3 linked regions of the Oreochromis niloticus genome follow. The protein of the gene in region 1 purifies or fractionates together with the protein of each later gene. This does not show direct contact. Links are inferred from orthologs where the notes say so. Each region holds a gene or a part of one and is shown in the gene's direction. Other genes may lie near its edges. The genes, in order: stk11, pip4k2aa and cops8.

What was found.
Region 2: the proteins of stk11 (region 1) and pip4k2aa purify together in Homo sapiens (affinity purification with mass spectrometry; 3 studies listed by BioGRID and IntAct, counting the BioPlex papers as one, with this or other methods). This does not show direct contact. The link is inferred for Oreochromis niloticus from reciprocal best matches to the Homo sapiens genes STK11 and PIP4K2A.
Region 3: the proteins of stk11 (region 1) and cops8 purify together in Homo sapiens (affinity purification with mass spectrometry; 3 studies listed by BioGRID and IntAct, with this or other methods). This does not show direct contact. The link is inferred for Oreochromis niloticus from reciprocal best matches to the Homo sapiens genes STK11 and COPS8.

What each region holds. Positions count from the first base shown.
Region 1 is NC_031982.2:13,189,767-13,200,276, forward strand, and holds the start of stk11 (serine/threonine-protein kinase STK11), read left to right. Parts: upstream 1-6,303; 5' UTR 6,304-6,520; intron 6,521-6,678; exon of another isoform or gene 6,679-6,897; intron 6,898-7,293; 5' UTR 7,294-7,955; coding exon 7,956-8,242; intron 8,243-10,510. Other genes in the region: sugp1 (SURP and G-patch domain-containing protein 1), read left to right, coding at 841-964, 1,056-1,384, 1,672-1,778, 1,919-2,096, 2,214-2,320, 3,273-3,418, 4,572-4,701, 4,909-4,935. UniProt on the Homo sapiens protein: Tumor suppressor serine/threonine-protein kinase that controls the activity of AMP-activated protein kinase (AMPK) family members, thereby playing a role in various processes such as cell metabolism, cell polarity, apoptosis and DNA damage response.
Region 2 is NC_031974.2:21,796,667-21,806,710, reverse strand, and holds the start of pip4k2aa (phosphatidylinositol 5-phosphate 4-kinase type-2 alpha), read left to right. Parts: upstream 1-5,729; 5' UTR 5,730-6,674; coding exon 6,675-6,815; intron 6,816-10,044. UniProt on the Homo sapiens protein: Catalyzes the phosphorylation of phosphatidylinositol 5-phosphate (PtdIns5P) on the fourth hydroxyl of the myo-inositol ring, to form phosphatidylinositol 4,5-bisphosphate (PtdIns(4,5)P2). Has both ATP- and GTP-dependent kinase activities.
Region 3 is NC_031987.2:7,709,762-7,720,436, reverse strand, and holds the start of cops8 (COP9 signalosome complex subunit 8), read left to right. Parts: upstream 1-6,554; 5' UTR 6,555-6,634; coding exon 6,635-6,706; intron 6,707-7,366; coding exon 7,367-7,437; intron 7,438-7,598; coding exon 7,599-7,647; intron 7,648-9,029; coding exon 9,030-9,162; intron 9,163-10,142; exon of another isoform or gene 10,143-10,675. UniProt on the Homo sapiens protein: Component of the COP9 signalosome complex (CSN), a complex involved in various cellular and developmental processes.

The sequences.
Region 1 (10,510 bases):
CTGTTATTGCACAGGAATGGATGCCAGTACCGCATTCTCAGATACACTTACAATTTTCAGGTATTATAATCTGACTACTGAGATACTCAGAGCTTGATAGTGATGGCTAAAATAGTGACCACAGAAGCCTGTAACTAATGTACTATTGCAATGAAGTTCATCATAACTTGATCAGTTTTGAAAACTGCATAGCAGAAGGCTCACATTTCTCAGTAGTGTTAGTCCAGCTCACCAACTACACCAATATTTTTTCATTTTAAATGTGTAACTTTTACTGTGTCCACTCCTAGCATATCTAAAACTGAGATATTTGGAAAGCAGCTGAACCATGTATTATGTATTTTAAAGTTCTGATCTGGATTGGCACTTTTCAACACCCACTTTCTGCTTCTGATTGGGTCTTTTTCCAACTTCAAGCCAACACGTCACAACTAGCCTTTGCTTTTAACTGTGCTAAATATGTTGCAGATTTTGCTTTCAGACTCTCAGTCTGTTTTCTGGCACAATGACTGTGCTATAGTGTTTTATTTTTTGATAAGTCTTGAATAAATACAGCATTAGATTTTGACTTGGACAGTGTAATGAATGCAGATGTAAGTTTTAAATTATAGTTATACTGTATGTTGTTGGAGTCTCTCAGGGCTTCATTCTTCATTTGTTACAGTAAAAGCCTCAAATCCATACAGTTCCCCATTCACCACCCCTGTCCCCCTTGCTCCTCCTTCCCTTTTCCTTTTCTTATCCCCTATTGGCTCTAGACTGGTGGTGTATGAGGGCCAGTTGAGTACGGTACAGTAGTAGAGTGTGAATTGACTCCCAGTACTAATAGGCTGCTTAAAGTCTCCCCCCCAGTGGACGCGGAAACCCAGCAGGTGGCTGAGAAGCTGGCCAAGTTTGTGGCGGAGGGTGGCCCAGAGGTGGAAGCCATCGCTGCTGAGCGCAACCGAAACAACCCAGCCTTCAGGTAAGTGTTCATATCTGTTTCTGTGTCCTGCATGTCTCACATTTTCTTTTTTAATAGTTCGTCTGAACTGTATGAATCTTCTGTCCTTCAGTTTTTTATATGATGAACAAAGTCCAGCCCACCGTTTCTACAAAGAGAAAGTAAAGGAGTATCGTGCTGCAAACTCTCAGAACTCTGCAGATTTAACAGGAGATTCTAGGACAGCTGTTAAGCCACCAGCTGCTTTTCCAGTACCAGAATTCTCTCCACAGCAGAGCCAGCCATCTGCACTTAACTTTAAGGAGTCAGAACCCCCACCTGTGAAACGAAAGAGGAAGAGCAGATGGGGGTCTGAAGATGACAAAGTCGACCTGCCTATTCCTCCAATTGTTGTTCCTCATGAGAACAGTCTTCCAGACCCTAACGCACCATCACTTTCTGGTATTTACTCTACAAATGTGCAAGTACTGTTCATGTGTTTATTTGTAGGGGATGAATATTAATTTAATCCCAAACCTTTTTCTTGTGCAATTCTTTCAGAAGACAGTGTTATGTGCTTTGCAGCTGACAACAAATATTGTTAAATATTTTCCAACTTATGCATGCTAATGCTCATAGCCATATTTCATAAAGTCATCTGAACATTGAGCCCAGCAAGATAGTTTGACGATTAATGAAAAATTGAGATTGCTAGCATTATACATACTAATGGATATTCCCCGTTTTAGCCCAGGAGCTGAGAGGTCTGGGTTATAAAAAAGGGAAGCCTCTTGGTCTGGTTGGAGTGACAGAATTATCTGAGGACCAGAAGAGACAATTGAAAGAACAACAAGAGGTATGGAAGTATTAAAAAAGAATACATAGTGTTGTTGCTTTAGTCTTTTAAATTTCTTTCAAATCAAACAATATTATAATTTCCAGGAAGTTCCTAACAACGTACGTGTTGCTAACTGAGCAGGCGTTGTTTTTTTGCAGATGCAAGAGATGTATGACATGATTATGAAGCACAAGCGTGCGATGGCAGACATGCAGGTGATGTGGGAGAAGGCCATAAGAGAGCATCAGCACGAGTATGACAGCGATGAAGAGGTGGACCAGCAAGCGGGGACCTGGGAACATCGGCTCCGAAAGATGGAAATGGAGAAGACTCGCGGTGAGTTTTACCAGCAGCCTGGAAAATCATTCATATACACTTTAACTCTATAGGCTTTTGAAGACTTAGTATGTGATCCTTTCTGATTTAAAAAAAAAAATTAAATGTCTGTTCCAGAATGGGCTGAATCTCTGACAGAAATGGGTAAAGGGAAGCACTTTATTGGTGACTTCCTGCCCCCAGAGGAGCTGGAGAAGTTTATGGAGACTTTCAAGGCACTAAAGGTCAGTTTTCATTTGAATTCAACACTTCCCCAAGTTGGGAAGGAAATATCAGGATTTGCTTAATGCATCATGCATGTTATTTCCGGGGAAAAGAAAGGATTGCTAAATTAGGCCCTTGTAAATCAGTTTATATATATATATATATATATATATATATTAAGTATAATTTTTAGTGGCTTTTTGACCAAGAAAGGCATGCATATCTATTAGTAGAGCTGAGGTTTTTCTGAAATGCCTCAGCAGTTGAACCCAGACTGCCCATTTCCCAGCACATTCCTCATCCCTTTCTGAAAGTCCCCTAGGAACAGACTATAATTGCTACTTTAAAAAGAAATCTGTGTGATTTGGCACTGTTATTATCTCATCAAAAAGTATCAAAGCTGAAAAAATGAACACTATGAACGTAATTTGTCTGCCAGAAGCATGGGAAGTTGTTAGAAAGTCAGCTCCAGGATGTGGCTTTTTAAATAGCAAACAGAATACAGTTTGAGTCTAAGCACGTATAAACAAAGACAAGTGTCTTTGAGGAAAATGTAATATAACTGTTGGGTTATTATAGTACGTATGTTTTTGCAGGCTGTATTTGATGAAGGCCTGAAAGCTGAGTCTTATTGATGATGTATCTACATCATCTATAATGTTCTAAACATTTAAAACAACTAAACAATAGAAGACACCTATGACTTACCTGTGCAGAACTAATAATCAACTATATACACTCCCTGTTTCTGTACATGTGCACTTCCCAAGGATGATAAACATTGTTGCTTTATTTTAGCCGTCTCCATGTCCCATTTGCTTCATGTTTATGCGACATCTTTAGGATTTTTTGAGTGTTTCTAATAAAACTGAATTATGATTCCTACAGTCATAAAAAAATAATGTGTTGAATCAAAACACAATGCTGCTTCTGTTTGTTATGAATGCTCAACTTTTTCTCCTGGATTCACAGGAGGGTCGGGACCCTGACTACTCAGAATACAAAGAGTTTAAGTTGACGGTGGAGAATCTCGGTTTCCGAATGCTCATGAAGATGGGCTGGAAAGAAGGCGAAGGCCTCGGCAGTGAAGGACAGGGAATAAAGGCTCCTGTCAACAAGTGAGCATTTCTACTTATAATATCATCCTTCTAATATTTAAACTAAACTGAACTCAGTGCTGTTGTGAGCAAAAGTTTGCATATGCTAATCATGGACATGAATGCCATGGTAAATTGGGGCTTTAAATGATTTCTTTTAACTGTGAATTTTCAGGATGGATTGATTGTAATTGTATTTGGTTAAATGTCTCTTATCAAGTTGCACCTCAACCAGACACTTTTGGTATTGTCAAACCAGTTCATTTAAATTGCCTGGTTTTCTACCACAACCCAGCTTTTAAACATAGTCTACAGATTTTCAATAAGGTTGAGGTCGGGGCTTTGGGCACGCCATTCCATCAGCTTAATGTTAACCTGCTTTGACTGAAATTTGGTTTGGATAATCTTGAAGGTGTTGGGTTTTTTTTTTAGAGCAGCATCGTCTTTATTGGTCAGTACCCTCTCACTCCATGTCAATGTAAAACAGTGTGGACAGTGACACTGGTGTTCCAGCAGTTTCCAGTTCTTGAGCTTTGGCAGTTATAAAAAAGATTCCAACTTGTGCACCATTTCTTGTTTTGTTTTTTGTTTGTTTTGTTTTTTAAGTCGATAGAGAGTAATATATGCTGTACAATCACTCCATCCTGGAAGACTAACGGTTGAAAAAATTCTAAATAACCATGAAATTCATGCCCATGATGAGTGTATGTAAACTACACCTGATTTACTGCTTCAGTCACAGGGTACTTTGATACATAAATTGCAGGAATTATTAGTTCAACATTTAGTGCAGTAAGTATATAAAAGTATAATTTGGTGTCGTTAAATGACCCTGTAATGACAGGGTCAGGAATGTATTACTTAGCAGTCAGTGTACAGTGTGTGCTTGTAAATCTTGTAGGCGTTTTTACCTAAATAGGAATTAGCAGACCTATTTAGGTATAAATAGCTGAATATAAACAGAGCCACTATTACCACTGGCTCTGTTTATATTCAGCTGTCTCAGGAGGCCATGAGTTTGACAGTGAGCCAACATGCACAGTAGCCATTCATTAATACTTTCATTATTTACACCTCTGATTTGGAAGAGCAGTTGTTATTATTAGAGACTGTAACACTCGTATCAGAGAGACACAAAAAAGGCTTATTTTATGATCTCTCTGTCTCACTCCAGGGGAACTACGGCTATGAATGGAGCAGGATTTGGAATTGACCGCCCAGCTGAGCTCACAAAAGGTGATGATGAATATGACGCTTTTAGAAAGAGGATGATGCTCGCCTACCGCTTCAGGCCCAACCCACTGGTAACATCTCTTTTATGTTTTCTATCATTATAAAATTTCACCAATTTATGTAAACTGTTTACATAATTTGGATTTGCATAAAGAAAGCCACACATTGTTTCCGTGTTATGATCTATTGACTTTTTAAAGAAGATTTCTGCTGCACATCCACACACAGTCTTTTGTTGTGCTTGAATTTAATCTGCTTTTTCTTTTGTCTTTTTACAGAATAATCCACGGAGACCATATTACTAATGTAGACAGCTGTTTATGTTTATACTTGTTCTTCTTTATTGTAACTTAAAAGCTTTTTTTCTCCAGTTGCCACAGCTCCGCTTCATTACAAAATGAACACTGTTGCACAGTAGAAATTTTGAAATACTGTGTGTGTGTGTGTGTGTGTGTGTGTGTGTGTGTGTGTGTGTGTGTGTGTGTGTGCGCGCCCAAGAGGATGACGAAGTTTGAAAATGGAATAAAGATCTGTAGATTCTCTAGTTTGTTTGGTGTAATTACACACCGTCTTTCAGTATTTGATCATCTGTGTTATATTTCAATTCAAGACTGTAACAAATACTGTCCTCACCCGACTTCTATAATGAGTAAACTCATTACATTTTTTTGCTTTACCATCTAATAAACTCACTTCTGCTTTAGCACACAATTTTCTGTATAATTTTGCTTACTGTGTTCTGTAACAATTTCGATTATTTTCACTATATGCTACAGTTTCTGCAATAAAACAGCCACTTCCTGAAATGTGCAGTTATCTTTTCACCTACTTATACCTATTTGTTTATAATCTATTTATTAGTGGACATGCAGGGGCCAAGAGTATCTTACTTTCAGTTTATGACATACCTGTGTGCCAAGTGTAGGCAGTCGTGTAATCGTATTTGATAGTTTGATCGGTAATCATTCTGCCATGGCTCTGTACAGCAGTGAGTCATTAAGCAGGCTTGACCAGGCTCAAGCAGCCAGTGGTGAGGAGTGACAAATCAGTGAAACCAGAGCTCCAGTTTGCCATTCCCCAGAGAGGTTTAGACAGGATAAATATAACTCAGAAATCCCAGCTAAGCAAGAGCTGCTCCTCAGCCAAACAATCAATCAGAGGCAACTTAAGTGAAAGTAGAAAGTAAATCGAGAGTTGCTGGTTAATGGCATGAAGCTTTCTTGATGGATTAAATTTCTTAAGGCAGATATTAGTGGGTGCAATTATTATAATCCATTAATCTTTTGATCTCTTAAAATTTATGAGAATTGTGAAAGGGATGTAAAATAGCTTTTGACAATATACTTAAAAAATTCTTTATCTTGAAGGCAAATAAATCCTGACATTTGAGAAGATGAAACAAGTAATGATTGACATTTTTTAGTTGGAATAAATGATTAATTGGTTAATTAATTGTCTCAGGTAACAATTTCTCTTTCTTGTAATCAGTGCTTGAGAAAAATGAACTACATTTGCCAAGAATATACTCTCTCCTCCTGGGAAATATGAATGATCATAGATAACAATGGGGTAAAATCACTTAATAAAAGTTAAATGAGAAAGATTACAGCTGTTGTATTAAACTCCCCTGTTGTTGACATTCCTCTACATTGTTTGGAGGGGAAAAAACTTTGATTTGACGCATTAACCTATGGGCTGTCCCTGCGAGTAGGGGGGGGTAGGTAAACAAGATGGCGACAACCTGAGAAGCAAGAGTAACACGAAGAGTCAGGGGGAAAAAAAAATATCACTGAGATTTTGTCAGACTAAAGTTAAATAATTTATTCACTGGGGACGGACTCACAACAGAGGATAAACCTTGCAGCGAAAAGGAGGTTCATTTGGATCTAGGTGAGACCCGGTACCGGGAGTTAGTTAGCTTGTTAATCAGCTAGCTCGCTATTTACATTGGCATCTGAGAGGCATGCTAACCAACGCAACTCCGGTTAGCTTGCGTTAGCTGAATTTATCTGGTGCGTTTCTTCTGAGTGTAGAAGATGTTGAAGATGGTGTCTCTGCTGTCGGCTCAGCGTAATGCTTTGTCTTTAGAGAACAATGTGTGTCCCCATTATTGCCTCCGCTTCCACCGGTAAAGGAGGTGAAGTTGGCTAACGCTAAATCCAAACGTCAGGCAAAGTTGGCTAGCTAGTACTGGAGGTGCACAGCCACCGTTAGCTCCAGCTGGATGACGACGTTTTGGTTATCCCCCCACCTACCAGCTGTTCTCTGTCAGTTCACTGTCAAATTAAGTTGCTGTTTGTTGTTTTTAAGCATGTCTCTGAGATGAAACCTACTGTGCTTGCTGAATATGTGCTTACCGACGGACCGCAAAGTGGCATTTCAGGCTAGTTCATTCAAGCAGACTTGCTGCACTAGCTTACCAGCTAGCCAACAGTTGACACTTAAAATATTTATTCCGGCCTAAAAACTTGTAAACTACAATCCTTACATATATATGAGGTTGTTATGTTTGCATATAGAAAGAATAACCTGGCGAGTTTTGTTTTGTTTTTTGACCACGGGATTTCAAGGTGGTTAGGTGTTGATGTGTTGTCGATTGTTTACCAAAGATGGCTAACTTAAGTGTGTGTTTTTATTAATGTTTAAATTACTCATATTTTCAGGCACCGGGCAGTAAAAACCGGGGTGACATGGAGGACACCTGAGGACAGTTCAACACATTGGACACTGGAGTCGACCTCCAGGAGCCCCACTGATAGCAGAGATTGGAGTGATACTGCTGCATGCTCAGGCTGTAGATCTGTGCTTGGATCCAATCCAGCTGTAAACACTTATGTACCCTGAGAAAACTCTGATATCCAGCATGGACCCTTGACAGAAATGCCGTGCTGCGTGGCCTTGAATCAAGACTGGTTGCCTCTGCTTAAGACTGTAGGGTATTAATTCTGAGGTAATTGGTGAAGGAGAAGAAAAACGTTGTAGTATCGCTTTTTTTTTTTTCAGTTTTCTGTTCAACCGCACTTGTTGTAGATCTAGTTAAAAATGCACAGTATAAAGCACTAACTCGGTACTGGACTCCAAGGGTTTTTAGCCCCTTTTCGCCCCTCTTGAGTGAAAAAGTTTACAAATTGGGCTTGATCACCCACCTCCTCCCCTTAACTCTCAGGCCTGATTACTCCCTCTCCAATGTTCAGTATTTTGTAACTCATCCTGCAGAATTAAAATACTCACCTCGGTGCTGAAAGGTTACCAGTGGGTTACTTAACAGCAGCAGTCATAGCTATTCGCAAACCTTTTCCTTCACTGGAAGTACAAGCTGTCAATCATGAGTGCCGGCGAGTTGCCTCACCTGTCTGACTATCTAAATGAAAATGAACTGATGGAGATGGATACTTTTATTCACCGCATTGACTCTACAGAGGTGATCTACCAGCCTCGGAGGAAGAGGGCAAAGCTGATAGGAAAGTACTTGATGGGGGATCTACTCGGGGAAGGATCTTATGGCAAGGTGAAAGAAATGCTGGACTCAGAGACTCTTTGTCGCAGGGCTGTCAAGATACTGAAGAAGAAGAAGCTTAGGAGGATTCCTAATGGAGAAGCCAATGTGAAAAAGTGAGTGTTTCCTGATTTGTTTTATCTTGTTTCACACATGCGTCTTGTAAGGTCTTTTTAGTTGGTTGTACTAGGTAAAACTAGGTGGCATGCCTGCAGTGTATGATCAAAATATAATTAATTTTAGTCACTACACAGAAAATTTATTTAACCTGCCAACAGTAAAATCAGTTTCTTATGAGTTTTAATGTGTGCCACAGCCTTTAAAAAAATGCAGCTCCCTCTCCGGAACATGTACAACTCCTAATTTGTATTTTTAAAATGAGAAACCTGATACTGTACTTGAAACCTACCAATCATAACTGATAAGGGGAAAAGGCAGACACAAAGCCTTAGTTTCAATCCAAACACCAGAATACTGTAATATGTTTGAGACATTTAATTTCAATACACACTGTTATTTTTCTCACGTAACAAAGCCAAACCTGTCCAGCAATTGACATAGCGAAGATAATTTTACATAGTCAGCATCACTCTCGAGTCCTGAGAGTGAGGTGCTGCTTGTGCAGCCATTAAAATGTAAGAGAAGTTGATCATTGCGGTGGGTAATCCGTCTGTCATTTATATGAACAAAGTCAATAAGAGTAGAATTATATCAGTTATATCAATAGCGTTTGTGTCGCTGCACTAATGGTACCTCCCAGTCAAAGCTGGCACACACACATATGCCAAACACCATGCGTAAATGCAAGGCCAACTTGCAGATCTGGCCTAAGAGATGACTTTCGACACCTAGCCATAAAAAAGAGAAGAGTGATTGATTAGCGACGCACAAATGTGTGGTTTTGTTTTTATTTGATAGGGGGAAAAAACACAGGAAAAGGTTGTGTATTTTTGCTAAAATGTGAAGGAGACATCGAAAGGCTGCATGAGGATGCTGCATTCAGCGATTTTTAGATGCACGTCAATAGGTCATTGTCAGCTTTTTGCAGTAGTCACATAAACATGAAACCTGATTACTTTCATCAACGTACTCTGTTAACACTTAGTTTTTATTCGCGATCCCCCCTGTGATGGGGGAACAAAACTGTCTCTTCACCTCAGATCTTCACTTATCCATTTAATAAAGCGGTTATTTAATTCCAGTGCATCTACATAACATGCACAGAGAAAAAAATATGCCATCAAATATTATTATACAAACCACTAACGTGTTTTGTTTTGTTTTTGTTTGTGAGTAGTAGATGGTTTTCTAGTAACTGTGTAATTGTTTTCTGTTCTTTGGGCTCCCTTTCCTTTGTGTCACTGCCTCTGTGATTTAGCTGTCATTTCTGTGTATTCTTTTTTTCTTCTTTTCCTTTTTTCTTTTTTTGCATCCCACATTTCTTGATGAGCATCAGTAGTTTTAATCACAGCAGTATTATTAAATATCACTCCAGCCTTTCGCCTTGGGCCTGGGCTAATTATAGAGTAAGCCTTAGAAAACTGTCAGAGCAAGTTCACCCAGACAGAAAGAAGCTGCAAGATAATGTGGGGGGGTTTTTTTTGTTTGTTTGTTTTTTTAGGCCGCAGTCACAACAGCAGCAGAGCAATGAAAAGCCCGTAAGCTCAGTTAGAATCATTTTGTTGGGATTGCAATGGCGTGTTTTATCTAACTTAAACAAATTTTGTCCTAGAAAACTATGCTTTATAATCTAAAACTGCATTTTAGTTTGCTGGGAATAAAAGAGCCTTTTAGCAGCTGTAATCTCAGCTGTTAGTATCTTCACTGGCACTGTTCACCTGTACTGCTGCCTTTGCACTGAGATGCAGTTTGAGAATACAATCAGCTCAATTCACCATCTATCACTGTTCACCTCAGTGTTGTTAATACTTATTTATTTCTGCTCGATTTTTATTTATTATTTTGCACTGTTGAGTCTTCGATGGTATGAGTGGGAATATTTGACAACGCCACTAAGACAAAGTCTGTTTTAATGTCAGCAGAGAACCACAAAACAATAAATTTGCATTCCTACCCCATTACTGGCTCCGGGGTGTAGTGTTGGTAATTAGCACTTGAGACTTGTAATCAAAGTGCAACAAATTAAATACACCTACAAATGCAAAGTCCAGTTACTGGTGTTGATTTTCTGGTGGAAGAAAATCATCATAAAAAAGTATTGTGTGCAAATCTTCAGTGTTACGTAAAAGTCCCGATAAGGAAAACGTTACAAGAGCGTTTTAGAGTTTCAGTATCTCACTAGGGTAAGGGATAAAAAAGAAGTCCTTGTGTAAAGGTCACTAAGTCAATGATGGCTGGGGAAAAAAAACAAAACAAAACACACA
Region 2 (10,044 bases), on another chromosome or scaffold:
TCTAGAAGTTTACCAAAAAAATCATATTTGGATGCTTTATGCTGGACATAAAAGACAAAAACAGGCACTTATGTGCATGCATTATGGGAATTTTCAAAACTTCTTCCTTTTCTGAGAGATGTTTGGGATTATATGGGCCAAGGGTTGAAGTGTGATTTGCCCAGGTCACCAATACTTTGTCTTCTTGGGGACAGGGGTGTCCCAGCACACCTGAATGATCGATATGAACCAGACAGTGTGTGCTGGATGTCTGACAAATAAATATTACCCAGTAACTTATTATACAAATTGTCTCGTATGCCTCATTCTGTGTCTTTAAACTGCCTTGTTTGTTGTAGATGTTTTTATACATAATTCCATAAATTTTGAATTGTTAAAAGAAGTGCATATTTCTGTACAAAAACAATGAGGTATAGGTAAGACATCAAAGTCCCCCGTCACTCACAAGGCATTTGACGCGCTGTTATGAGTGAGGTTGGAGAGGGCCTGGGTTGCCGCCTCTCTCAGTGCCAAACTCTCCCTGCTCAGCAGTTGAACCAGGACACTGATACAACCTGAAACACAAAGGAATCCAACTCAGTTACACTTTGTTGTGCTGACTGCACCTAATCTCAGGGTGGCTCGGTGAAGATGTACGTGCCAAGTTCTCTGAAGCGTTCTTTGCTGTTTACGTGGAAGCTCAAGGCGGCCACAGCCTGACAGGCAGACGTTATCACACCAGTGTTCTCCAAGGACAGAAGCTCAACCAGAACCGTCTCCACATCCTGCTCGTGAAGCACTTTGCAGCTCTCAGCTAAACACACAGGCATGCACCCGCATACACACACGCATAACAGAATAAATGAAAAGGAGTAAATTATGTGGGAAAGTTGAAAGAAATCTGTTGTCTCTAATTGCCTTCTGTGCTTACAGCTCTGAGCCACCCTGGTGATGCATTTAATAACACCTGACCGGATTTCAGGCACACTGGGAGTGAGGACAAATTCCATCAACTTGGTCAGTCCTCCACTCTTGTGAATGAGTTGGACACTTTCACTGTCACTCAAGCAGTTAGCCAGGACATGCAAGGCCTCAGCATGTAGGTCACTGAAGTTCTGTGAGAAATAAAAAGATAGGTCCAGAGGACACAGATTTTAAAGGATTCTCTATTATTTTATTCTTATTAACACAAACCAACAGAATGAAGACATATGTTACCTAAACCATATACCTACCACATTATTCAGGATACCCATAAGCTTCTCAAATCCCTGCTTGTCCCTGAAGGTTTTGTTTGCATCTCTGTCAGTAGTGACATGTTGCAACGTCTTTAAAGCCAAATGCTGAATGACAGGGAATTCCGAATTTAAGAGCTGCAGAAGTGGAGGGATCCCACCTAATTCGTGTACGACCAGGCGGCTTTTGTAGTCCTTCATGGGGACAAAACAGCAGAGGTTGCAAAAGGTTCACAAAAATGTTGAAAGCATTTTTTTCAACAATCCTAGGAGCAAATTTGAAGCTGTTTTCACTCATGAAATCTGTAAATGTTGGGAGAAATAGGTCAGGACTTTGTGAAGTTGCTCTTTCTCACACATAGCGCACAGCAGGAAACAGTTCGCATTAACTGCATTCTCATTACTAAGAAATACTTTAGGTTTGGCAGCAGTGCTGCCTTAGTAGAGCAGGAGGGAGGCAGAACACAGTGTGACCACTGACACCAGAGTTATTACCTGCGCTATTATCACATAGATGAAACTGGACATAATAAATACTTTCCCTTGCAGAGCTGACAAGTTAAACACATTCTACAGCATTAAACATCTGCACTGTCACATGTACCTCTGTCACGTTATATCTAGAAAAGTTCAGGGATTCAGTAAATATGTGAAGACAACTGTATTGTCTTTTAGGACTATTAAACATCACGTTAATTTTTCACAGTGAAAATCCTTATAATTTTTACATAAAATAAAATCCTAAAGCCTGATGATTTTGGGTCACCTGTACTAGGTTGGAGATGGTCTCTAGTGAATTCTTCTTGACATCTGGGTCAGAACTAGACAGCAGCTGAATTAGAGTTGGCAGCCCCTTGTTGTCAAAGATCTGGGCCTTACAGAGGAAATCCTCTGACAGAGAAGCCAGGCACAGTGTTGCAAACTCGTGGACAACTGTATCATCTTGAACAAAAATGGAATTTGATCATATGACGAGAACCAGAAATAAATAAGGATTGATCACAGAAATACTGCCTATTGCCATAAGTAAACACATGTGCTCTATTTTGATTGTATGCAACTTATACAAAGTGATACTGTTTGCTTTAGTGATCCAAATATATCTTAATCTTGTAAAATCTATTACTCACCTTCGAGTGATAGTTTTTCAATAATTGATGGAATGGCATCTAATTTTTTCAACGCAGTCCTTACATCACCTTTCAGATTTAAACAAGAGACACTACTCAGTTACTCAGTAAGGCTAGCACCCTGCTCATTGTTAAATCAACAGAACAGGGAATCCAACATCTGGTAGATTAACAGATACAAATTCCTGACAAACACATAGATGGCCGGTAAACTAAAGGGTCATTTGTAGAATCAAGATTGTCGCATGAGCTTGTAAGCCACCAAGTCCACTGCAGTCGAATCTGCATCAATGACGTAACTGGTCTGACGCACCATTGGTGGCCATGATGCCCAAGGCCATGAAGGCATTGCGTCTGACCAGCTTGTTGTTGTGAGTAATGAGTTGGCAGAGAGGCGCTAATGCCCCAAGTCCCAGCAGAGAAACCTTGTTCTCATCTCCTAACAACAGGGGGAGACAGTGAACAGGAAAATTAGGCAGATGGTGATGAAGTGAATTGCAAATGTTGCAATTTCTGGATTTAAAAAAATGCATATCAAAAAAATACACCATTACAAAACATCAGCCTGAAAGCTAAATTATCTGTACGGATTTTCTGCTATTCAGCTGCAAGGTTGCCCATAGAAATAAAAACAATAAATAATATGTGGAAGGGTTAGCGGTGGGTACCCTACCATACCTTTTTCTGCAAATGTCTGGATCGCTTCACACGCTTTGATTAAAATGTCCTCCTCTGGGGAGTTCAACAGCAGCACTACTGTTGCTGGGGCTTTGCTCTCAAGGGGTAGCGGCTCAAACTGTGAGAGTCAACAAGGAGAAGGAGTGTTTGCAAAAAAAAAATGTATAAAGTCAGGTCTGTCTTTTTGATTTTCATACTTCTAGGACAATGAGACAGGACATATCTCAATGCCCAGCATGTACCAACAGGCAACAACCTGAGAACATGTACATGCACATGATATCCTGATGCCGTTTTCAAACAATTTTGTGCCCAAGGCCTACTAAAGACCAAGCCACAATTTCAAAGTACATGTCTATTTTTATCATCAGAACATCAGAAAACTTCATCATCTGGAATGAAGTCAAAGACTTTTTTATTGTAGTGGCAGATGGACACACTTTTGAGCATGACATCTGTTTTTTTTTTCCCTTTCAGTTTCACACTCCCTCTTTAGCTTTCTTCAGACTGTTAGTGTCAATTTATTCCTTCCAAGAAATTATCCACTGGGAAAGGGGATGTTTCACCATGCAAGAAACTGATCATTCTTACCTCCTCACAAATATATTCTTTACTATCAGTCAATGCTTTTGATGTGTCAATCAGAGCATTTGATATGTACTAATAAAGCAAATTCAAATTTCATTCATTAATTTTTGTGTAGTTAGAATAATCATGATTTGTTGACACAAATACCTGCTTGTATATCAGTCTTAATGACCTATGATGCCAAGGCCCAATGAATCAAGTTCCATAGTAGTAGTTCCAATCAGAGAGTTGTGCATGCTTTTTTATTGATATGTTCCCGGGATGTACAGTAGGCTGTGTGTGGACATGAATTAAACCTTGTCAAAGGTTCAAAAATGCATTAATTAGGTTTTGCCAACACCTAAAGAAACATTCGTCACTCACCGTTTCCTTGACTGGCGTTTCCCTCTCGTTCCTCGACTTCTTTCCCATATTATGGCCTAAGGAGGAGCAATATTGATGAGAGGCAGCGGTCCAATAATGGTTCAATGCGTTCAACTCTGTGAACCCATAAAGCTAGCTAGCTAGCTAGTTATGCTACTATGCCACTACTCAGTAGCACTGTCGACAGATTAAGCTTACAAAACAGGCATATGGCAAGCTCTCTAATTACTATCTCAAAAATGAACCACGACTTACTTTTTCTTTCCAAACTAAGAGGCAACTTCGAGGTTTTAAACCGACAACAATAACTTCACCGTACTGTGTTTTGGAAAAGGAGGTTGACGCAACGTTGCCAGGCAACGGGTGCCATGTGGAACTAAATAATGGTCTAAACAATCGTTATTTTAACCTGTTGCAAAAAGTTATGGCTCCTATTGTCTTAGCAGTTTACTTCGGAAACACTGACAATGCATTTATGTAATCGGGACTCGGAACAAAAATATATTCGGTGGTTATTTATCCAAGTAAAGTAAAAAGAAAAAAAAACAGTATAGTCCAACAAGGAAATGCTAAGACACGCAAAAAAGGCAATGCTACTGACAGGTATTAGCTATGTTGTTTGTGTGTTTTTGAACATATCACACACACATTTACACAAACTGGTAGAATAAATCCTGGGTAACAACGAGGAGGGCACAAGTTTATGTTGAGTGAGCGTGAGGTCAGGTGAAGGGGTTGTGAATAATACCACTAAAATCATCATTGGGACATTGTAGCAAATGTGTCAGTAGCCATCAAAAAGTGCATGTAAAATGAACTGGAGCTCAATGGATTGGGGTCTAAATCTTTAAAGGACAACAGAACAGTCTGGCAATTAGATGTATAAGTGTCTATTACATTATTTTATTTATTGAAAACACAACTTGCATGACCTATGGAGGGGTGAACCAGACAACTAAAGGTTCTGTGCTGTTTTCTAATGACACTGTGTAGTTTACTATTGAGAACTACTAAGATTTGGAAAGCTCCTCAGTTGTCCTTGAATCTGTTCATTGAATTACACTTAAGTTTGGAAGAAAGCACATTCCATCATTAAATTATCATAAATTATAAATAATTTGCATTCATTCACTAGAATAATTTAGAATTTAGTTTTACAGCCCTGCTTTGTCACATATTACATGTTTAATACACACACACACACACACACACATATATATACATATATATATATATATATATATATATATATCTGTCAAACATATATTTTAATTCAATATAAATAGAGCTCAGTCAATATGAAAAGAAATGTGCTGCCGTGAAGGGTGAGCCATAAAACAAATGAGCTCTATATCGCATCAGCACATTGAAGCCTCCTGCTTTTACAGAGGCACTGACACAGCATTGTGCCAGTGGAAACAGCATAGTATGCACCAGAAGACCAAATGACCTCCAAAGACATTATCTCTGATGGTGTGGAGATATACATATATATATATATTGACTTGGATGGTGCACGTCTCTGCTAATCCATTACTATTAAAGAGGCTGCAAAAAACGGGGGTGGGTGAAGAAATCAGTCATGTAGGGCAGCCTGACTGAAAAAGTGTACAGTTTTCATTCAGTTATAACCTTTTTGTTGCTGACAAGAAGGGTAAATCCAAATGCCACATATAGACTAATATAGAAAAGCTCTTGAGCTATTAAAATACAACAGAAAGGTAACATGGGCCCGGTAGTGGAGGGCAGGAGTAGCAGCGAATCAGAGCAGGAGACACTGCAAAGCTCAGCCCGTCACCTCCCATCCGCCGAGCTGTCAGTTGCAGCGCACATGAACATCAACGCTGCGGGAGTGGACCAAACGTTGATATTCTTGTAACGTCGAAATATTTGCTCCTCAATGTTTTCATTTAAACCGGGCAAGGACATCGCAGGATACACGCCCTGTCATCTCTGTGGACTAAGTACAAACGCGTAGGAGGAGGGCTGAGCCGCTCGCTAGTCACCGAGCAGCTGGCTAATGGCAATAGTTAGCTTGCAGGCTACTGCTTGATAGCTGGTGAACGGAGTCCGCTTCTGCTTCTCGCCGTCATTTGGTTAGAGAAGGTCGGGGAGGCTCATGTTAGCTGGTAGTTCTAAGCGTCTATCTACCCTTCAGCATTTCTAATGTGCTATTATTTTAATATTTAAAAAAACAAGCTCGTGTTCTCTGGGTCATTTGCCACGGGGGCTTAACAATTGTTCATCCTCCGTACGTTTACTGTTTTTACGAAATTTAGCTTTGATGTTTGCTAGCTAACAAGCTATTCTCGGCTATGCTAACGCTACCTGGGTGAGACTTTACGTCGCAGGAGGTGCGGAGAGCTCCAGTCGAGAGTCAAGGAAGGAAGAGTGGTGACTTATGATGTGGGCAGGCGGAGAAGCGTATGACGGTTAAGTGAAGAAGAGCAAGCAGTATTAGGCTAAACGCTTCGTATTTCCTCACGTTAGTCTCTTTCGAGCTAGGGCCACAGCGACAGTCGAGCTCTGTGGGACTTTAGATGAAGAAAAGAATTGGGGCACCTTGGTTTGCTGGGCTGGCTAAATGAATAGTACTGACATTGCTGAACCGTGAGCTGGTGGCCGCTGTGCCAGCTTCAAGGGAAGACACGCTGTCGGGATTATCGCACAGTCTGCAATAAACCAGCCAGTTTTCTTAAAGATGGCTTCGGCGAGCAGCATTGCCGCATCCATTGCGAGCAAAACCAAGACCAAGAAAAAACACTTCGTTGCCCAAAAAGTGAAGCTCTTCCGTGCCAGCGACCCTCTGCTCAGCGTGCTCATGTGGGGAGTCAACCACTCGGTGAGTCAGACCGTCCACTGTCACTGTGATGATCTACGGTCATGTCTCCCTCGATCTTTTGATGTTCCACATTAAGGCTCACTTGCTGTCAGATATCAGCTTTTGTGTTACTGCAGCTGAGTAAAAATACGAGGTGACAGCTGTCCAGCGGTTCACTGAACTGTCACCGTAAATACAGGACTGGCTTCAATTAGCGCAACCCATTAGTAATGTTTGCTTTAGTGAGCTTTTTGTAGTTGCAATAGTAATGTCGTGGATCTTATTAGTCCGTGGTTTTGATGCATGCATGCGCGCGTGTGTTCGTGTGCGGTGAACTCTCTTTGGCTTCCTGTTGTGCACATGTAGGATAAGCTCCTAGGGCTCTGTGTCATGAGAGAGCAGATCTTCCCATGCAAGACAGCTTATCTCTGCTGTCTTTCTCTTCCTTTGCTGAATAATTGCTGCACTTGGCCACTTCTCAGATGTTGGAAAAAGCACACAACTTGGCAGACAGAGCACATGCAAATATTTCTGGCACCAAACCACAAGTATTAAACCTGTAAGCGGTGTTTTGCAAAAAGATTTAGGCTACGAATAGATGATGCTTAACTGACCGAGGCAGGTAAGCTGTACTTCTGGCAGCTCCTTTTTTGTTACAGTTTTAGTATATAGCTTATCCTTGATTTTTGCCCATTTTTTTTTTTTTTTAAATCGTAATTATAGCAGAGTTATAACTGTAGGGCCAATCTTTTGGCACCAGACTGATTGAGGAGAACTGATTTCCAAGGTATAGCCAAATGAGCTGAGCAGCAGCATTCATATATTTATTAAGCACACACGTTTATTTTTATGTTAGTTATAGATTTTTTTAACAATGATGGCAGTAACTTTTATTCTTTGATTGTAACTGATGCTGTAATTTCTCACACTTTATTTTTCTCTGCCTGTTATTCATATATATAGTAATATAACAACAATAAGAATTTTGCATGGTAGCAAATTAATTAAGAATGAATGGAGTGTCTTCTAATGACATCTCTTTTCCTTTTGACAAATTAAAAAAAATATGTCAGGTTGAGGCAGGTTGAGGAGTATTTGGTGGATATTTGACATACTTGCAGCACTGTGGGCAGATTGAGGGGAAAGTCTTTATGAGAATGTGTTACAATTTAGTTTTTTACTCTGCAGCATTTGATTTTTGGAGTAGGGTTCAGGGTGGCAGTTTAGTGTGGATTACAGGACCTCAGAATAGTCTGACATACATGATGCCAAGGCAGCTAAAGATCTGAAGCTTTCATTCTTTATCTAAGCTGTAGTCTGTAGCAGCTTTGGTTAGTGTTAAGCCTGAAGGCTCAAAGTAAGAAACACAAGAGTTTTACCTCTGTGAAGCTATGCACTACAAATTAGTCATTCTCTTTTTCAATGTCATTGAAGTGCCTACAAAAGATAAATGTATATAAATATATGCCATTTGTCCTCACTTTACTGGTTTTGCTGATCAGATATGATGTAAGCAATTGCATCAGCTAGATGGCCACCAAGCTCTTAAAACCCTTCAATAAAAATTTATGGTTATATCATGGATTTTTTTTTTTTTTTTTTTTTTTTTGTCACATCAGTAAATTTAGGAGAAAATCATTTGTGTGTTTGTCCATGCATGTCAAAGCTAGGATTATATCATAATCATTTGTCTGATTTAGGTGTCTACTTTTGTGCTGTGTCACCTGTCTGCTGAAACATTATGGGTCAGTGGCTTGTAACCATAAAATCCTAGAGTTTGAAGAATCATTGAATACATGTTCCAACTGTACTCGGATTGCTCAACAGTGCACTGGAATCGTCAGCACATTCCCTTGTTATGCCTTAGGCTACTTCTCCTGCAGTTTTTCTCAGCAGGTACTCAGCTTGTCATACTATCAGCTACGTAAAAATTACATTCCATGTCAGATCACTTGATTGAGCCACTGAGTTGCTGCCAAAGAGTGTTTAGGCCATCAAGTATTGATATAAGTAGGGCCACCCCTTACCAAATTTGCCTTGTTGACAAGTAGTTAGCTACTCATGCACATTTATGATAGCCATCCATCCATTTTTAAACTGTTTATCCATGCATCATTCATTTTTTTATTAAAATAATTATAATTGTATGTATAGGGAGCATCTAAAACTGCTGTTAATTCCAGAGCTGAGAGCTATTATATCATATTATATTTGAGCTGTTACATAACCTTGGTAACACTATGCATAATTACAGAGATACAGAACTCTAGTATAAGCCTTAAAAATCTAAATTTTACAACACTACACAGGAAGCCGCCAGTTAATGATACCATTAAAGCAACAGTCAGCAAGGACTCTGTTCCAATAGTAGAATGAGTGTTTAATTGGCTATTATTGGGCTTTTTGTGCATTTAACATGATAAGCCATGTTTGAGGTTGATAAATGGTAGGTGAATGTTTGCCTGTGGGGTTTGCCGCTCTATTGGGGCTATCGTTTACTCTTGCAATAAACCCGCTGTTTGGATTTCCTGCCTGACGTGTATAAAATTAATAAATGGAGGAACCAGCTGTGTAAACAGTAATATCTATCTGTAAGTGACTTTTAACACTTCAGTGAGACTTTGAGTTTTGTTGTTTTGTTTTGTTTTCCTGGCAACCAACCAGTGAACTAACACTCTTCTCACAGACTAATGTTGGGTTGGTTATTATGGGTCAGCCCGAGCTAAAGGTCACTCCCTGCAGCAAGGAGATTGCAAAAGTAACATGAACTAAAAAAAGGAGTGAATAAAAGGTGAGGCTTGAGAATGCCACCAGACTGCAAAGACAGTAGGACATTGAAACACATTCATTCATACACATGTTCTGCAGTTGTAACCACCCTCTTTAACCACTGTGGGTTGTCATCTGAATAATCCAAATTGTCTTGGCTTAAAAACCAGACTTATTTGAATTACTGGTCCGTTAATTTCTCCAGTGCAGATTAGATGCCAGTAGTTCCAACCTTTATATTAGTCCAGTGAAGTGAAAATGGCATGCAGAATGAGACAAATAGAGTGCCAGCAATCATAGGAATAAATGAGATGTTTAAATGATCCCGTAAACTATGTGTATGTCTTCAGAATTGTTGTTGTGTAATAGCTAACCAAAGATGTGTATTTTGAAGTATTTAAAAGCTTCCTTAAAATAACCTGCTTAAGCAAGTAGCCCATTTTATTTTAATCCTAGTACTTTGAAATGTTGTCAGCATATA
Region 3 (10,675 bases), on another chromosome or scaffold:
AGTGAAAAATCTCTTGTTTTTCTCTAGTTTCAAGATTCACTGTCTTGAAACAAGTTCCTTTAGCTTACTGAAATGTTGCCCTGTAGCTGATTGTGTCTTATTTTAAGTGTAACAGATAAATTTTGACTAGAAATAAGACAAATATACTTGGTAAGATTTTGAGTTTTTGCGGTGAACTCACACATTTCAGAATTTACCTTGAAGGCAAAATATCTCAACGTTTGTGTTTGTGTAACCCTTTTCATGACTTCACTATCACTTGTTGGCAAGTTTTCAGGCAATCTAATGTTTTCCATGCAAACTAAAGGCAAATTCAGCAATTGCTACAGCAAATTTCACCTAGCAACTGCCAAACACCACTCGCCAACTCCATCAACCTGTGATTACAATGGTGTCGCTGAACCGTTTCTAGGCCTGTGTGTTGGAGGCATAATGGAAAGCAATGAAATGAGCCAGAAGTAGAAGGATCATTGAGAACTGGTGACAGCTCCCATCCAGATCCCCCAGAGTACCTTTTAGAAACAACAATGAAAGGAAGAAAGTCTGAAATGAGAACGTATAGTTGTGTAACATAGACGGGAGTTTATTGATCTCTGGGTACTGAACTCCATATAAAATGATCCTCAAATAAATTTATTAAGCTTGATTGTTGATTTAAATTACTGTTTGCTGTAACGCTGGATTCAGATCCTTGTATTTCTAATAAATCATATACATAACACATACAAGGCCAACTTGAATTTACCAGCTAATGGAGAAAGGGACGACCTTAAAGTAGTGATTGACACTATGAACCGATTAAACTATTTAATTAAGACATAAATCAAGTGAAAAGTTGAGTCATTTTTCAGTAACATGACATACAATCTGACGTCTTATAGCAACCAGAAGAATTGACCCCCATGTTTATGAGTTATGGAAGTAATTCATGTAAATTACTTCCTAACTGGGTTTGCTGGCAGTTATCACTGAAGTGTTACCTATTTCCTTGGAAAACAGGATCCAAAATTGACACATGTAACACAATATTTTTTTTAAATATGAAAACGCTATACAATATCCTTAAAATTCCAAGATTGAGATAATAAAACTAGTCTCATTCTGACTGATTCTTGCGCTGAAATAGCAGCTTACAGTCAAGCTGTGTGCTCAAGTGGTTTTGAAAACCTGCAAACAAATTGCACAGAGCATTCAACAAATGGCTTAATCAGTCAAGCAGACCTCCAGCCCTATCTGGCATTTAAAAAGTGGACACTCCGTTCAAATAATAGCCCAGAGGTTACAAGTAATCATCACAGAACAATTCTCCTGTTCCCCAAGGAAATGACTCCCCAAAGCGGCTGCATTGTCCTTTTCTGTAAGCCCACAGAGTAATAACTCAGGTTGACACAACGGTGTTCACACAATGTAAAGGGGAGAGATGACAAGACTGTGTCATTGGCACTTTGTTTTTCTTCCTCCTCTTTAATATTCCTTATTGAAAGAGTTATACAATAAGGCGCATATGAGGCATTATGACAACAAAAGAACAACAAAGACAGCAAATTCAAAAATTACCAGGCTGATCTGACCAGAAATAACAGAGCTAGTCAACTGTTCAAGAGGGTTAAAACAAATGATATTTTGAGGGGGATATCTTTTGCAATCATGTGAATGAGTGCATATACAATCTCCACCATTGTCATCAGCCTCAGTATCCCTAATAAGAAAACTGGTGTTGCTCTTGGCAGTTTGCCTTCTACCAGAAAGGCTTTCTAAGAGTTGGTAAATACTGTGAAGAGATCTGCTTGACTCTGCAATCCAGCTAAATCAAGTAGCTTTGGCATCTAAGCCTCATCTACCAGTAACTTGAGAAAGAAAATGAATACATTCAAGAAACTGATTTAAACTGAAATAAACTATTTAATTTACCAGTCAGACCCTGAGTTTGGGATAGTGACTGAAGAAGAAGACCAGTGGTATAGGCAGCTTATGATTCCTATAGGCTCAGAGACACTGATCAGCTTCAAACCTGGTCAACCCAGATCTTTCTGTTTGGACCTGTTAACTAGGGTAGACTATTTTATTTAAAGACTACATGAAAATACTCTGCAGGTTAGCACAAAATAAACAGGTCAGTTTGCTGTACTGTGATGGTTTTAAACAGAACAGAACACCAGTCACACACAATAGAACAGTGTGTGACTGGTGTACAGTGACTGTGGTGCGAGTTAGGTTACAATCAAGTTTAGCAGAGATGAATCTGAAATTAAGCTGATGATGTTTACATGATTCATACCAACTTTATACAATCTAGTATAAAGTTAGTATAAACGGTTCTCCATCCCCTACACTGACTGAAACATCTACGTACATGTTGTTGGATTGCGTACAACAAAATTGTCTACATCCACAAAGAGCAGTGAACCTCAGTGCATATCCATATCAGCTGATCACATGCTGTACACTAAGAAAATTCACCTATTGTGACCCACTTTTCCCCACACTGAGTGGCTACAACTGATGTTAGGGTTCCCCACCTGCTGAATCCCACTTTAACCTCCTCCCTACTCCCCTTTTCCCCTTCAGAGGTAAAGTCACCCTCTACAATGTAGACAACAGAAAATATAGATTTTTTTTAAGCTTCCTTCTTTTCCTTCTGATTCAAGCTGAGCATAACTAATATTAAAAATTAGTATTAGTAAAAATGTATTCCCATCTTCTAATATTCTTCTAATATCTAATCTTGTTAAAAAGGACACAATAAGGTAAGATTTGGAGAACATGAGACACCTGCATTCATTTTTGTTAAGTGAAAATAAGCAACCCAACAATTCCTCTCAGTGCATCCTTCTGCCCAAAGACAGTCATGCGTTCAGTGTCATTAAACTCTTACAATTCAGAGATCAAAGACCCATTTTCTCAGTTATTTATAGAAGCCTAGCAGCTCTTAGTTGTGGAACTAAAGCCATACAACATCACATCATTAACAGTGTTTTCTCTTACAGAAATCACAGAGTTATTTTTATAATAGGGTGTTTATCTCATGGTCCTGGATTTTCGTCGTAGGACTCCTTGGGAATTCTTCTGCCTTCAGGGTCTTTTTTTGTTTGGCTTTTTTGTTTTGTACTTGGTTTATTGTCTACATTTTGACTTTAATTTATCAGGACAATTTCTGTTATTATTACTGAGTCTAATTATCCCTCAGGGTTTTGATTTCTTTTTTAACTTATGGTCTTTATATTTTTCCAGTTCTACGTATTAATTATTTTGTTGTGTTCACTATTGTTGTCTGTGTTTTCACCATTTACGTGCTGTTTTTCCTCAACTTGAAATAAAAGGTCGTTTTGTGTTATTTCCGCCTGCCTTTTAGAGCCTGCATTTGGGTCCTCAATCTGCAAGACCTGACAGTTTATGAGGCTCTTAAGATGAGTTTTTTAAAATGTTTTCCCCATGTCAACATTTGATTGAGTCAGAGAGTCTCAATAATGTCTGGAGCTGAATCTTTCACGAATATAAAAAATTAGGAACATCAAAAGTCCTCATGAATTCCACTGATCCGGCACATGGGGATTTCTTCTCAGAGCTGAACACTGAGATACATTTAGAGAGGAGAAGCTAAGTAAATAAAATCTGTTTTTATTATTATTCTTTATATTCTATTCTATGTTATCCACACTTCAGAGAAAGAAGCTGTTCTGATGTCCTTTATGTGGTGGAATGTGATTCATTCATGTGTTTATGGGATTCTCTTTCAGCATTATTAAACTATTAACACCGCTGCTTTGCATTTCTTTGATCCTTTCCTTTGGCCTACACCATAACAGGGATTATGGTCCCTATATACTTTATTCATTTATTGAGGATGTGACAGGAGGGTCAAGGTAGCACATCTGAAAACAGTCTTCTAGGTTTATAATAAGTGGCTGCTGAGAACTGTAGTACTGTGACTGTAATGTAATAGGAAGGTCCAGTCTTATCTCATGGTGAAATTAGCAGAACATTAGATGAGACTTTTCATTCTTGCCAATGAAGATTTCAGAAAGTTACAGAAGGTAATTCAGACACAAATAGATTTTTTTTTAAATTTGTGTGCATTAAAGGAATTTTAAGAGAGCAAAGCATAGATGTAAAAGCAAGTTCAAAGTTGGTAAACAGGTAAGCAGGAGAATGAGAATCAATGTAAGACACAAATTAAATGTCTAACTTAACATCAATTCCTGGAAAGCAATAAATAAGTTCCAGCTCTTCTAAAACTCAATTTCAAGGGTATATCAAACTGCTTTCACATTACAAGATCGCATCGTAGTCATATTTCTACCCTGTATACCTCCAGTAGCTCTTTAAGTCTACCTGAAGCACATCTGGGATACCTCCTGACAATCAGGGACAATGCCAGATATCTGATATGCCTTCCATGAAGTTAAATCAACAAAAAGATTCCTAGAAATGTGATAATCTGTTTGCTGTTTTGATTTTCCACTCCCTCTCGTGTCAGGGTTGGGTCGGGCAGCTGAAAATCTGCCTGTGAGTGGAATCCCGTATTTCTGCTCTTCAGCTGTCATGCCTGTTGCTGACCACACCAACTCTACTCAGCTGCCTGCCCATGAGTTTGTTTGCTAGTGCAAAACAGATCAGTGTCCCCATTCCACACATCCTCCCCAGACCGTCTAACTAAGTAATCTCGCATACTCTCCATAAAACCCCCTGGAACAATTCTGTGGAACATGAAATGGAAATTGGTCCATATGCGTTGTTTTACAAGATTTCTATTATTTCCATAGAGATTAAAAAGAGCTTGTGAAGCTGATAAATTGATTAGTGCATGTTGTGTTCAGCAATGATAAAAACAAATATTTTGGAGGTTGTGACATTAAAAAAGAGTTTTAAAAATCTCAGATTTGTCAGTACAACTAGATTTTTTAAGTAATTCAAAAATGTTGTAATTAAAGTGTGAAAAAGATGTCTGAGGGGTGTTTTTTGTTTGTTTTTACACATTTAGTGTTCCTTAAGATTGCAAAATACCACCCTCAATGCAGATAAAAAAGTCAGAAGTTTGGAGAATGATAAATTTTCTATATCAACAGTAGAATATCTGTCAAAATAAAGAAAACACATGAGAGCTGTGTCTCAGTTGCCAAGCTAATTTTTTAGAGGTGGATGGGATAAAAAGGTATGTGTAGTCACCACCATCAAAGGCAAAGAAAAGATCAAAAGGAATTAAAATAGAGGAATGCCCACCACTGGCGGGAAGATCATTAGTGAATTAAGAGAAAAAAAGTATCTCTCAGCACTGGGAGTGTTTTAAAGAGTGATAGTTTCCCTGGTAGAAGTACCAATAAATCTAAACTTGCACGTATATCTTAACGTTGCCGAACCACAGCATTTAATAATAATGACAAGAACTTTTATATGAATAAAACTCATTAAACTCTAAATTTACTTAAAGAAACAATAGTTACTGCAAATATCTTTAACAACGAGTCAGACCTTCGTCTCAGATTAGCTGGCTCATTTGTTGTACATAGCTTGTAAGATTTTTCCCATTTATAATATATTTAAGCTCATTTGCAAGTATCACATTTTCAAAATCTAGTAAAAAGCTGTCATCATCTTTCTTTCATTGTCCACAAAAATCTTAGTATAGTTATGTGTTTGATGAACACTGTAGGAGTTTTCTCGATTATTTTTAAAGTGTTTTCCTCTTAATCTTTTGACCACACAAAAAGTGCATAAATGTGCTTATTTATTCCTGATATTAGCTTATTACTTACTGTTACAAGATTACACACACAACGCTCCTGTCTCTGCACAAGTGACAACAAGCCAGCAAAACAACACCTGGTTGTAAGCTAACATTATGGCTACTAATGTTAGGCTCCAGTGTTCTAAAAATCACACATATCCCTCTGATAAACAGTTTGATTGCATTGACTCCAGTCTTCCTCTGTGTAACTCAGACATGTTTGTCATACAGCTTTGGGGGAAAATGTATTAGGGCAGCTTTAGGGTGAAATTTGTTGCACTGACAGGTTTTTGCTCGTCACCAATGGCAAATATTTGTTTTTTAGTGAAAAAAAAAATGCTAGTTGTCATTTTTTCAGAATCCCACAGCTCTGAGTCTCCTCCAGCAGTGTCCAGGATCTCCATTTGGAAAAAAATGTGAGGCCATAGCATGTGATTCACATAGACATCAAACCATTCTATGACCCATTCTCATGCACTGTGTAAGGGTCATTGTCAGACTAGAAGAGACAACTTGTGTCATAACAAAACAAATTTGATCAATTAAAAGAACTTTTAATTATTAGGAGTGACCTTTCACATCCAAAGTATATCAGCAAAATTGTATACCCTCAGGATGCTCTCTGGATTTAGGGTTTAGATTTCTTTGATTTGTGAATGCAGACTTCCTTTTGACTTTTCTATTAAAATTATTTTTCTTCTTATATGTTCTCTCTTTTGTTTGGAGTTTATTTATCTATGCTTTATTTATGTTACTATTTTGGTTCAGTTGTATTTCACTGCAGTTTGCCTTACAGCCAGCCGAGGACGCCAGTGAGCACACACCCGACGTCGGACTCGTAATAATACGGCTAAGACACCAAAGAAGAAGAAGAAGCAGAAGTTTCCGGTGCAACAGCTAGGCATCATCATGCCTACTGCTGTGATTATGGAGGAAAATTTTGATAAATTATTAGAGCAGTGTGAAGCCCAAGAGCTCGAGGTAAGGACTTTGTGATCTTAAATATGAACAGGAAGGTCTCAGAGACTTTGTGGCTTTGAAAGCATGATGGGAACGGTGCGGTTTCTACAGATTTTAGGCTAGCGTACTGGCTACAAAACCTAGCCTGTGTGTAGCCTACCTTAAAGCTCTGGGAAATCAACTTATCAAACACGTTAACTCGTAGGCGAAACATTCTCACGTTAAAAATGAGATATAGGCTGTAGCAGCGTGTTCATGTTGGACTGCTCTTTGCTTGATCTTTGCCTTTACCTGCCAGCAGATAGTAGGAAGTTAGCGGTCATAATCTCTCCGTTAAATTGGAACATATCTGCAGGTTATGTGTTTGATTTAAGAACCTTTAAGTCTTACCTGTGTTGACAGTCTGTCTGTCTATCTGCCTGCCTGCATGCAGCTTTCGGACTGACAGTTTATAGTATAAGAATAAGTGAGCGAGACCACTACTGTAATGTTAGCAGGAGCTAAAACTATTAACTGGACGCTTGCTGTTGGCTGGGTGAACATCAGCGACTATTTTTTTTTTATTATGACAATAATAAGACAATAATAATAACCTGTTTTCTCTGAGAAGTAACATTTGTTCAGTTTTCCGCTTGTTTTAGCTCCAATGTTTAATCGCACACCTGCATTTCTTTGTAACAGGCTCCAGGGGGCATTGCAACACCTCAGGTCTACGCTCAGCTGCTGGCGCTCTATTTACTTAATAATGACATGTAAGTCACTGATATCTGATGTCTATGTATTTATGTTAAAAAATACATTTAAATGTATATTTTTGTCTCAGATTGCAGGCAGCTGAACTCAATTTAGTTGATGAGCCCCTTTTTGCTGCCTGTGCCTGTATCTGTATTATGAATGTGTGTTTTCCTAACAGGAATAATGCCAGGTATCTATGGAAGAGGATTCCCCAAGCAATAAAATCGGTAAGCTTGTTAAAACATGTGTAAACACTGCTAAAGAAATAACATTTGAGCATGTAAATGTGAACAGTAAATGCTGTTTACTTTAAAATCCAATGTTGGTTTTATTACATTTTTTAAACCTACTCATACTGTCATGTATACAGTTACTAGACACTTTGTAAGGTACACTTTGCTAGTACTGTATGGACCCTCTTTTGTCTTCAGAGCTGCCTTAATTCTTCGTGCCATAAATTCAACAAGGTGCTGGAAAAATTTCTTAGTGGTTTTAGAGGTTTTGGTCAATGTTGACATGAGGTCATCACACAGTGCAGATTTGTTGGGTGTTTATCGATGACAAATCTCCTGTTCTGCAACTAAAACGCTGTACTTGCTTAAGATATGGTGACTGTGGAGGCCATTGGATTTGCCTTCCTATCAGCTCAAATCAGTGTGACCATTCTCCTCTAAACTCTGTCATCAACAAGAAGTGGCACTCATTTGATATTTTCCTTTTTTCTGAAAATTCAGTGTAAATCCTAGAGATGTGGGGAAAAATCCCAGCAGATCAGAAGTTTCCTAAATACTCAGACCAGCCCATCTGACATCTCCAACCATGTCACGTTCAAAGTGTCTTGTGTTACCTTTCTTCCTCATTCGAATGCTCAATTTGAATAGCATTTTGTTAATGTCATGTGACTGGTTAATTTAATGAGAAAAGACAAACTTGTGGAGTGGAGAAGTCCTTTAATGACTGAGCAGCCAGATTTATCATAGCATGACAAAGGGATGGTACAAGGAGCCAATGGAGAGAGGCTAATATGGAATAAAGATTTCTTTTTCTAGTCTCTGTTTGCTTTGGAGGCTTTTCAGGGAGCTTTCAGAACAATCTGATAATAAGGAATTGTATTCCAGCTCCAGCTTAGAAGTTAGAAATGTATGGTCTGTGTTTTTCATCAGCTTTTTGCCATTGTGGTGCCTGCACCATATTTAATATTAAGGGCAAACATTTTTTACCACCCCGACACAACCAGTTTCATGTTTATAGAAAAGTTGCTCAACTGTACATGTAAGTAACTAAGAACACATGTAATTGGAATTTTTACTTGTGTGACAAAATGATCTTAAGTCCTGGCAGATCAATTTGCCCCACTGGAAAACTTTTTGGACCTGCTAAGACAACCAAGAGCACTATGAAATAAATGGAATTATGGTACTGCCAATCAAGTCATGACTTCTTGCAGAGTCCAAGAAAAGACAATTTAAGGATGATGGAACCATTATGATCCAACAGTCTTACATATATATTGGGGTGTGAATGCTCTTCACAGTAGCATTAAAACCACTGCCTGGTCAAGTGTTGCATTCTGATTGTGTTTGAAATGCTTCTCACTTGTTTCCTGCAGGCAAATCCTGAATTAGCAGCTATTTGGGCAGTGGGCCAGCGTATTTGGCAGAGAGACTTTCCAGGGATCTACACAGCCATTGCTGCTTATCAGTGGTCGGAGAATATTCTTCATGTCATGGAGGCCCTTAGAGGTAACCAAAAAATGTTAAAAACACCAGCTGACTTCTCGTGCATCACATTGACCTGTTAAAAAACTTTTCAGATTAATTATACTTCCACAAATTCTTTATCTAATATATAACTTTGGCTCTGTTGAAACTAGAAACTAAGGCAACATATTCTGTCAGCACGTTTAAGTGAGTTCAGTATTTTAAAAAAGTTTCCTAAATGATTTAGAATAACTGCCAGCAGGGGGCAACAGCTGAACCCAGTCAGGGCTATGATGCAACAAAGCAATGGGAAAATAAACAGAAACCCTCATGGTCATGAAGGGTACATCAGATATCCACAACAGAGTACTTGCATATTAAGAAGGTGGTTGCATACCTACATACTTTCGCCTGTTTTTCACATCACCTTCTCAACTTCAAAGGAATGATTTTCTAGAAACATCAGGTCATAAATTTATATCATCTGATCGTCACAGTTCTAGCTGCATTTGTATCATGTGTCAATTACATTGTGCAACAGTTTAAGAATAGCTTCTCACATATGTTTATGACACTGTGTGTTGATCTGATATTAATGCTCAGTACAGTATGTCATAGCACAATTAAGCAACCACTGGTCATAACTGCTTAGTGGACGTGTGAATAAACATTAACAAAAAATGCGCAACAGTCAAGAACTGCAGCATTTATTCAAGATTACAATCAATGCAATCTGACCGTACTTCCAGGCACTTAGTGTACTGAGTGTATCCATGACTATCATACTGCTCAGACTAATTAGAATATTGCATAATATATATTTTTTCCATCAATGTGTTAAAAGAATACATTTCCAAACATATAAATTAATCTGAATATTTTTTAATAAATCTGTTTAAATCAAAGCCACAAAAGGAAGACATTAAATATATTGAGAACCCAAAAAGTAATCAAATATATCATCATCTTACCTTAAATTTAATTTAATTTAACAGTCTCACTAAAGTGTGGATTTTATTATTAAAAGCATCAGGTTCCAGTGCTGAAGTATAAGCATTGCAAAAGAAAGAGACCAGCAGATAAATTGTCATTTAGAAAAGAAGAGGCTTAAATGTTGTGTCAGTGGTAGTTTAATAAACATAATTGATCCTCAGCCATTTGCTGTTATCAGTTAGTTTAATCTAAAACATATGAAAAGTGTTTTTCTGTAGTATATGTGTACAGTCACTCCATTTACTAAACAGAACCGGTTACATAAATTGGCACATTGAGCAGATAAATTAAAAGAAATCAAATGGAAAAACAGCCAAGTCACAGGATCTTGACACAGACTTGTTTACCAATAATACTGAGCCCCCTTTCTCAGGTCGAGCTCCTCTGAGCCGGTCACATGGACCCTGTTTGTCTGTGCTCAGTTGGCCACTTGGGTCACTGTTAGAGGGGACTCGGCGCCCACTGGGACATGTGACACATGCTGCAATGGGTAGAAGGGGGCGTTTCTGTGAAAAGATCCTAGGCTAGCAAGCGGGTAGGAATGCCTGGTGGAAAGGATCGG